3 linked regions of the Kluyveromyces lactis genome follow. The protein of the gene in region 3 binds, or shares a complex with, the protein of the main gene of each other region. Links are inferred from orthologs where the notes say so. Each region holds a gene or a part of one and is shown on either strand. Other genes may lie near its edges. The genes, in order: RPA49, RPC17 and RPC10.

Evidence for each region.
Region 1: RPC10 (region 3) and RPA49 share a complex: the UniProt entries of both Saccharomyces cerevisiae proteins name them as parts of the RNA polymerase I (Pol I) complex. The link is inferred for Kluyveromyces lactis from reciprocal best matches to the Saccharomyces cerevisiae genes RPC10 and RPA49.
Region 2: RPC10 (region 3) and RPC17 share a complex: the UniProt entries of both Saccharomyces cerevisiae proteins name them as parts of the RNA polymerase III (Pol III) complex. The link is inferred for Kluyveromyces lactis from reciprocal best matches to the Saccharomyces cerevisiae genes RPC10 and RPC17.

The regions. Positions count from the first base shown.
Region 1 is NC_006039.1:266,359-269,533, forward strand, and holds RPA49 (DNA-directed RNA polymerase I subunit RPA49), read right to left. Parts: upstream 1,852-3,175; coding exon 613-1,851; downstream 1-612. Other genes in the region: MPA43 (Mpa43p), read right to left, coding at 1-397; JJJ3 (Jjj3p), read left to right, coding at 2,311-2,799; KLLA0_C03003g (uncharacterized protein), read right to left, coding at 2,957-3,175. UniProt on the Saccharomyces cerevisiae protein: DNA-dependent RNA polymerases catalyze the transcription of DNA into RNA using the four ribonucleoside triphosphates as substrates. Component of RNA polymerase I (Pol I) which synthesizes ribosomal RNA precursors.
Region 2 is NC_006042.1:2,114,148-2,116,583, forward strand, and holds RPC17 (DNA-directed RNA polymerase III subunit RPC17), read right to left. Parts: upstream 1,074-2,436; coding exon 606-1,073; downstream 1-605. Other genes in the region: VTC4 (Vtc4p), read right to left, coding at 1-378; CRH1 (transglycosylase), read right to left, coding at 1,383-2,436. UniProt on the Saccharomyces cerevisiae protein: DNA-dependent RNA polymerase catalyzes the transcription of DNA into RNA using the four ribonucleoside triphosphates as substrates. Specific peripheric component of RNA polymerase III which synthesizes small RNAs, such as 5S rRNA and tRNAs.
Region 3 is NC_006040.1:683,709-685,747, reverse strand, and holds RPC10 (DNA-directed RNA polymerase core subunit RPC10), read right to left. Parts: upstream 751-2,039; coding exon 538-750; downstream 1-537. Other genes in the region: BNI5 (Bni5p), read right to left, coding at 1,018-2,016. UniProt on the Saccharomyces cerevisiae protein: DNA-dependent RNA polymerases catalyze the transcription of DNA into RNA using the four ribonucleoside triphosphates as substrates.

The sequences.
Region 1 (3,175 bases), on a different chromosome or scaffold from region 3:
GGCATAAGATTGATTCGTCTGTAATATTGTTGAGATATTCCGTCTCCTCTATAGCTGCTGAATGCATCCAAAAAATGATATCGTGATATCTACCGTTCTTGTCATGAATCAAATTGAAGGGAATTAAGTTCTCATCTTTCTGTTTCCCAACCACCATCGAACAAGTTGCTCCTACACCCAATGAACAAATGTTGTACTCCTGGATATATAAAGTATTGAATGCTTTTTCTACAGCAGTTAAAATATCAGAGGTACATTGGGTAATGATCCCATTTCCATGCCTAAAATAAGGGACTTTTTCTTTCGTTTCCTTGACTAGGCTATCAGTATAATAATCAAAAATACCTATTCTAAACTCGGTAGATCCCAGATCGACACCTATCCCAACATCTTGCATATCCACAGGTTCTATATATGATGTTTAAGTTCTAATTTCTCGATTATACCATCACTTTCTGTATTCTTTTAGTTGATCATTATAAGATGAAGGTTGATAATACGAGATGAATAATTCTTTTTCTTTATATAGTAAAATAGATTTCTGAAGAAGTGTAGATCAATTGCAAAAAAGTATTATACAAACGCATGTTCTACTTAAATCATAGGGATAAGCTACCTTCTTGGCCCTTTACCTCTTCTAATCATTTCTGGTAGCTTGAATGGTACCTTCAAAGTTGCTATTTTATACGTTGAGGCAGAAGACTTTGGAATGCCAAAGGCTTCAGCTTGAGCTACAGTAGCACCCTTAACGGTAGCACCTAAGATTTTGAAGAGACTGACAAGCTTGGAAGGCTTTAAGTTTAGTTGTTGAGCTAAAGGTGGGACTTCAACAATGAAGTTATCCAAATGCATAATAATTACCAAAATATAACATAGCAATTTGTCCTCCCTCTGTGGATCGATAAAGAATGACTTATCTTTTGATCTACCAAATTGACCAGGTCTAGAGATGGTAAACCTTTCCAAAATGCCATTTAATAGGGCATCTGGAGGGTTGTTTATTCTTTCCAATAATTTTGTCTTGTTGTTAACTCTTCTGTTATCGTACACCCCAGCCAAAAGTGATAAATAATATAGTAATTGCAATTTTTGCATTTGTGCTGCTTGTGTTAGAGTTGGCAACTTGTTAGCCACATATTGAAATTTAGTGTATGGGAAATATTCTAGCCTCTTTTCTGGGTCTTGCTCTTTCATGATACTGCCAACGCGAATAAATGACCATTCCTTTTTGGGTATTATGTTGTATAAAGGATAAATTTGTTCCACATCTGTTGCGTCTAAATCAGCCAACGGAGTTGGTCTATCAGAAGATACAGTTTCTTGCAGTTCTTCCTTTGAAGGCAGTTCTTTCGAAGCAGTCTTCACTGTGTCTACAATATCTATCGCAGAATCAACCAATTTGTCTGAATCAATACGGTTTCTTTCCATATCAGCAATGGCCTTCTTTGCCTTCTTAGTACCGAACGCCTCACCTAAAGCGTTTCTCATCAATGCAGCACGGACGTTAGCCTGTTTAATGTCAGGTCCCATTAGGTTCTTTCTAGATTTGGAAAGAACCTTGCTGGATACCAGTGGTGCCTTGTACAATTCTACAGACTTCGTGGCGGCATCATAAACACCAACAACATACTGAGAAGAATTAACAAAATCATCGTCAGTCTGACCTTCATATTCTAGTCTATCGTTTTCACCATGTAACACGTATTTGTCGCTGTTCTTCTTGTTCTTATATAGCTCGAAGGTGGTATCTTTTGGTGCCTGGAAGCCCTTAAAGAAGCTACTTACAGCAACAGATGGTTCATCATGATAAGCTGAAACACCAACCTCAGTGAATGCACGTTTGGAACCCATCTCCACACTCTTAGTTACTACACAGTCAGCTTATTTCGGACCTTGGGATACCTTTCAATGATGTACTAATTTCCCAATATAGTTTGTGATCGATGCTTTACATCTCATCTCATCGCATATCCAAAAATTTTTCGATCAAGGAAAAAGAAACAAGAGTCATGTGACCGAACCATTGGATTATTGAGTTGGAAAGACGAAACTTCGACCGTTTGCCAGATTAATAAATGCCTTTTATAGTACCTCGTTACACCAAGCTTAGTCAGGACGCCTTACTTTTTCTGCTGCATGTTAAACCTGCTTTTTCATAGATTTCTGTGTTGTATTTCGTTCAATGCTCTGTTAGAGGCGATGAGGTTAGCTTTTGATATTTCATTGAAATGTTGACAGACATCAACAAAAAGCTATGTCAGCACTTATACCAAGTTGAGTGGTTCTGTAGCAGAACATCCAGTTATCATAATGCAACGATCCTTCTATGAAATTTTGGGCATTGAAAGCGATGCCAGTAATATCGAAATTAAAAGAGCTTATAGGGCCATGTTACTGGAAACACATCCTGATAAATCTGGATTGAATTATAATTCCAACGGAAACAATACATCTAGTCATTCTGTTACTGATATCCAGGAAGCTTACCAGACCCTCATTGATCAGGATTTGAGGAAAAAATATGATGAGGAACTTGCTGAATCGTTCAAGAAACTTGGCTTTCACAATGCAGGTGATGGTCTAGATCTTTTCTCTCTAGATCTGTTCGATTACAGCGGAGATGAACAATCTTTTTCGATGAATTGTCCCAGGTGTCAAATAACTGATGGGTTCCAATTAACCGAAGATGCTTTGGAAGAACATGCGATAGATTATGAGGGAGGTGGATATTTCGTATTGGTGCAATGTTCGGCTTGTTCACTATGGTTGAAAGTCTTATTTGACGTTATGGAAGAGTGATGTGACATATCAATTATGTTTTCACAATTAAAACCTGAAGAACTTCCTTATATTGTATCTATTGTGTCATGAAAAATTCACACTATTTACAGGTATGTTTCTTTACTTATGCATACTAAGAGCCACGTCAAAAAGCATACTGAATGTATCTAGATTTTTACGGTTCTTTCTCCGTATTTGTTTGCTCAGCGTCCAATATGGAAATGAAGGCTTTAGAGATAGCTTCAAAGTCTGTCATGAGGCTTACATGTGGCATTTCGCTAGCTATCTTTGCTACAATAGGAAAGCCGCATTTTTCTGGAAGTAACCACTTGTGATGTACAACACCGTCACCAGGTCCGTAATAAAAGTCTTGATACAGTCCTTTCTTTATCTC
Region 2 (2,436 bases), on a different chromosome or scaffold from region 3:
GGTGTAGTTTAACCTGGCAAACTTGGCCAAATCATGCACATCAGCAATGATATCAGACAATTCTTCTTCTAAGATTTGGAAATCCAAATCTGTAACCGGAACATTTGTATCCAAAGAACGCACAGCGACAGAAACTTGTTCCTGGGCTTGCTTGATACGACGCACTACCTCGTTATGCTTCACTTTGCAAAAAGTGTACACTTTATCCAATTCAATTTCCAAGGACTCCAAAAACTGAGTCTCCAAATCCTCGTTCCATTTTCCGTTGTTAGCTTCCAAGGATTCCTGTAACTCCGTCTTCAAGTCATTGTAACTGATATAGTAATAACTGTACTCACGAATCAAAGATCGCTTCAAATGTTCACCAAATTTTACCATCGTTATCAGTATCAGCTATTTCAAAGGTCCTGATGCAAGTCTAACCCACTCAGAAGCCCTGATAACTACTTTATTCTAGGGTATCCCTTTTTTCCCTTATACTGTCACTTGGAAACATTGAAACTCATGTTCCTGATCTTTTTTCTCATTGTATTTCGGTCTGTTATATGTGATTTTTTTCTCCAAGCATTTAAACATTATAGATATTGTATTATGGTGTATAATAATTAGAGGCACGTGCGGGAGATGCATTCGAGAAGCGAGGTCACCTGACCTTCGTCAAGTCTTGATTCGCACTCTTCGACTATGCTATACAAATGGACCAAGTTTGTTGGTAATTGGTTCACTATTTGTAGTTTTTCTGCTTTGTATAGTGGGAAAGCATTTAATTCTTGCATTAGTGTTGAGAATTGGTCTGTAGTTAGGTTCAGCAGTGTGGATTTGTTGGCGTTATTGGGTACGGTCTTGTCCGACGTTTCTGGTTCTTCTGGGTCTTCTGCTGTAGTGGAACGCTGTGTTATGTACCTTACCGTGTCTCTGGTTATCGTTTGCAGTTCTGGATGGTAGTATGGTTTGTTGTGTTTCCTGTCTGATTTTGATCCAGAGGTCCATCGGTGTTGATTCTGTAATGATATGAGGAACTGCAAAGTTTCGTAGTCGCTCATAAAAGCGTTTTTTTCCTCAAGCACGCGCATTTTCTTGGAATTTTGTTATATGAGAAGCTTTTTACTTGGATAATTCAGTATAGGCCGATACAGTCTTTATTACTTGCTACTCTTTGATCTCAACTCAGCTCATCTCTTCTCTTTGCATGGCTTTCAATATATTCGAAGCGGTGAAAAATAATCCCGTGTATCATGATTTAGATGAACGAAACAAGTGCTCAGGGTATACGTATCCTGCTTTGTGCATACCAGTTGCATGGCTGATGCTGGTACCATAGCGATTAAGATGCACCTATTAAAATTCAACGAGGTTAGTTTATATTACAAAATGACTATTTATTAGAGAAGTAGAAGTGCTGGAATGATAGCAAGCAATTGCGGTAAATTGAAAGCAGCAGCGTTTTCTGACTGTGTGGATGTTAAAGCAGCTGATGAGCTTGTCTCGCCAGTGGCATACGATGTGATCTCTTCGTCAGCAGCGGTGGTAGTGACCAAAGATGAGAAACCTGTGGTCACAAGTTCTTCCGTGGAAGTTATTAGAGATTCAGTTGTATTCAACTGAGTTGAAGAAGATGATAGGGAAGTGGAGGAAGATGTTGTGTTCAATGCAGTAATACTGGATGATGAAGCACTGGTAGATGAAGCACTAGTTGTGTTCAAGGTGCTTTCAGTGGAAGTAGTTGGAATTGTGGTACTAGATTTAGAAGTCGTAGTGGGGGAGGATGAGGATAAGGATGAGGATGATGATGATGCGGATGAGGATGAGGATGAAGATGAGGATGAGGAAGTGGATGAAGATTTGGATGTAGATGGAGATGCACTTGTCTTGGTTGAAGATGAAGATGTGGAGGATGAGGAGGATGAAGATGAAGTGTCGTCTGATACGCTTCCACCAGAAGCTAACTTATCGAAATCTGCTACTCCTTGATCATATCTACCATACACCTCACCATCATTAGCTTCAATAGATTCCCAAGTACCATCGGTGCCTGAGTATGAGTATTCTGTACCAGTGGAGTAATCAACAACGATAACGTCTTTCAAATACATGCTGAATGGAGCTTTGGTATAATCGGTCAAACCACCTGCCCATTCAATGGTTCCGGGCTCGTTTTGGGAATCACCACCAGCCCAAATACCTGTGAAAATACGCATTGGAGACTCTGGGTATCCTTGACCATTGTCACTGGTGATAGTCCTTACCAGTGCACTGTCGACATAGATATTGATTTCATCCTTAGTCCAATCAATGGTATAATTGTGGTAAGAACCTTGAGGATCGTCCACCGAATGGAAAGCACCACGGTCAAATGTAGTAGTTTCACCCTTGGAGAAGAAATTGGATTGAACTTGAGTAGTATCAGTACCAGTCCATTCGATATCAATTTCATCA
Region 3 (2,039 bases):
TTCAATTCTATCAAAAAAAAGCACTGATCCTTTGTTGTGTTTGAGGAGAGAAACGTTCAATTAAACACCAAAATCAACAAACAAGATAATACACGCAAAAGCAGATATTGGCACCGTTCAAAGCACCCACTCTCTCTTCACTAATCACACCAAACAGTTGCCTATCAAGCCTTAGCTCAAATGGTCCACAAAACGTCCGTCAAACTTCGTCTTTTCAGTTTGGAAGTGGATATATGCAAATCTAACGGTGACGTTATTCTTTGATTTTAAAATTAGATGGTGAAGCTGCCCAAAATCATAAAGTTTTCTCAGAGATTTTCCATCACATAAAGAAAAAGGAATTTTGCGCAGTGTGATTAGCCGGTATAACCCCAGCTGACTTCGGACATCCGTCTGTCGACTAGCGATGCCCATGTAGTCGTGTTTCAATTGAGAAACGTTTAAATGTCAACGTTTATTAATGTACATACAGGAAAGATGCTGTAATACATATATAGTTTATATGCATATAGTTTATGTGATGGAATGGGAACAGGTTTACCTGGCTTCGAACTGGACCATTCTCTTGGTTCTGGCCTTGAGTAGGATACGGTGACCGCAATTCTTGCAACGGACGGGATCAGTTCTGGAAAGCGAAAGTCTGCTTGAACACTCTGCGCAGATGTATTTCAAAGTGGCAGTTCTGCTCTGAGCTGCACCAGCAGCAGCAGCATCTAAATTCGTTGGGATTTGGAAACCTTCACGGGACATCTTGACACTTACTCTTAAACTATTGGGGCCACAAACGCACTCACTGACTCGACTATCGGAGGATAACTCTCGTATCCGAGACAGTATGTTTCAGTCAAAGCTTCTGATTCCTATGATGAGCTTGTCAATTCAAATTTCTTACTAAGGTCAGAAGAATTTCTTTTGGAAATACACGGTAGGGTAATACTTAAAGGATGCATAGAAATACACACACATTTATATAGACACGAATGAACGTATGTATGTATGTAGTACGAGATTTCCAGGTTACGACCTTCCTACCCAAAATTGGCCATTGGCCCCCATATCTACGTTTTTCCTTATTTGACGGGATAATATTACACCTGTATCGTAACGTTGTTTGTTTTTCTTGTCGAGGTATTCTTGCAATTTTTCGATGGCAGTGATCAGTTTGCGTCTGTCTTCGAGCGTTAAGGTACTTTCGTTTTTAAATTTGTGGAGGTAATCGATTTCTTTTTGTAGTTTGGTACATTTGACCGAGAGTGAGTTGTAATTTTGCTGTAATTGTTCAAAGTTTATGTCTGAAATATCTGAGGAAGTGCTTGAGACCCTAGAGCTGTTTCTCGATGCGTTACGGGAGCTTGGTTGGCTACCAACATGTACTACGCGGAACGGGTTGCTCTTCGGCGTGAGTATACGTGGTGAAGTAGGTATGTTGCTTGAGTCAGTGTTTGGTGCACGAGGGACGGTTCCGTTCTGAGTATGGCCGATTGCTGCAGGAGCAGGGTATGTACTTGATTTATCAGTGTTAGGTACAATCGTAGCTGCTGCTGCTGCTTCATCCTCTTCTGTGCTGGTGGAGACTTCGATCTTCTCAGAAGGTATTCTCTTCGCTGGAACAGAGGTTACGGAAACAGCGGGAATAGCTTTCTCAGCAGTTGGTTCAGTTTGTACTTCTGCCACCACTTCTGCCACTACTGCTGCCTCTAATTGAGTACCTGGTTTCTCCTCTTTTATGTCTTCTCGCTCTTCCGCTTGTAGTGCCGTCTCTCTGCCACTACTTAGTGTTTCCGGTACCTCGTCCTCCCCATCGCTTTTAATAGCATTCTGCACAAATTGATCAACCTGGTTCGCCGTTAGCTTCTGCAACTCTAAGTAATCCTCATCTTGATCGTCAGAAGAAACATCCTGTTTCGTCTTAACCGTGGTCTCATGAATGCTCAAGTTCTTATCTATCATCTCGTTCATCTCACTTATCTCTAACTCAATTTGAGACATTCGTTTCTTTACCTGCTCTGAATCCATAATTGAAAAAAATAGGACGCCAC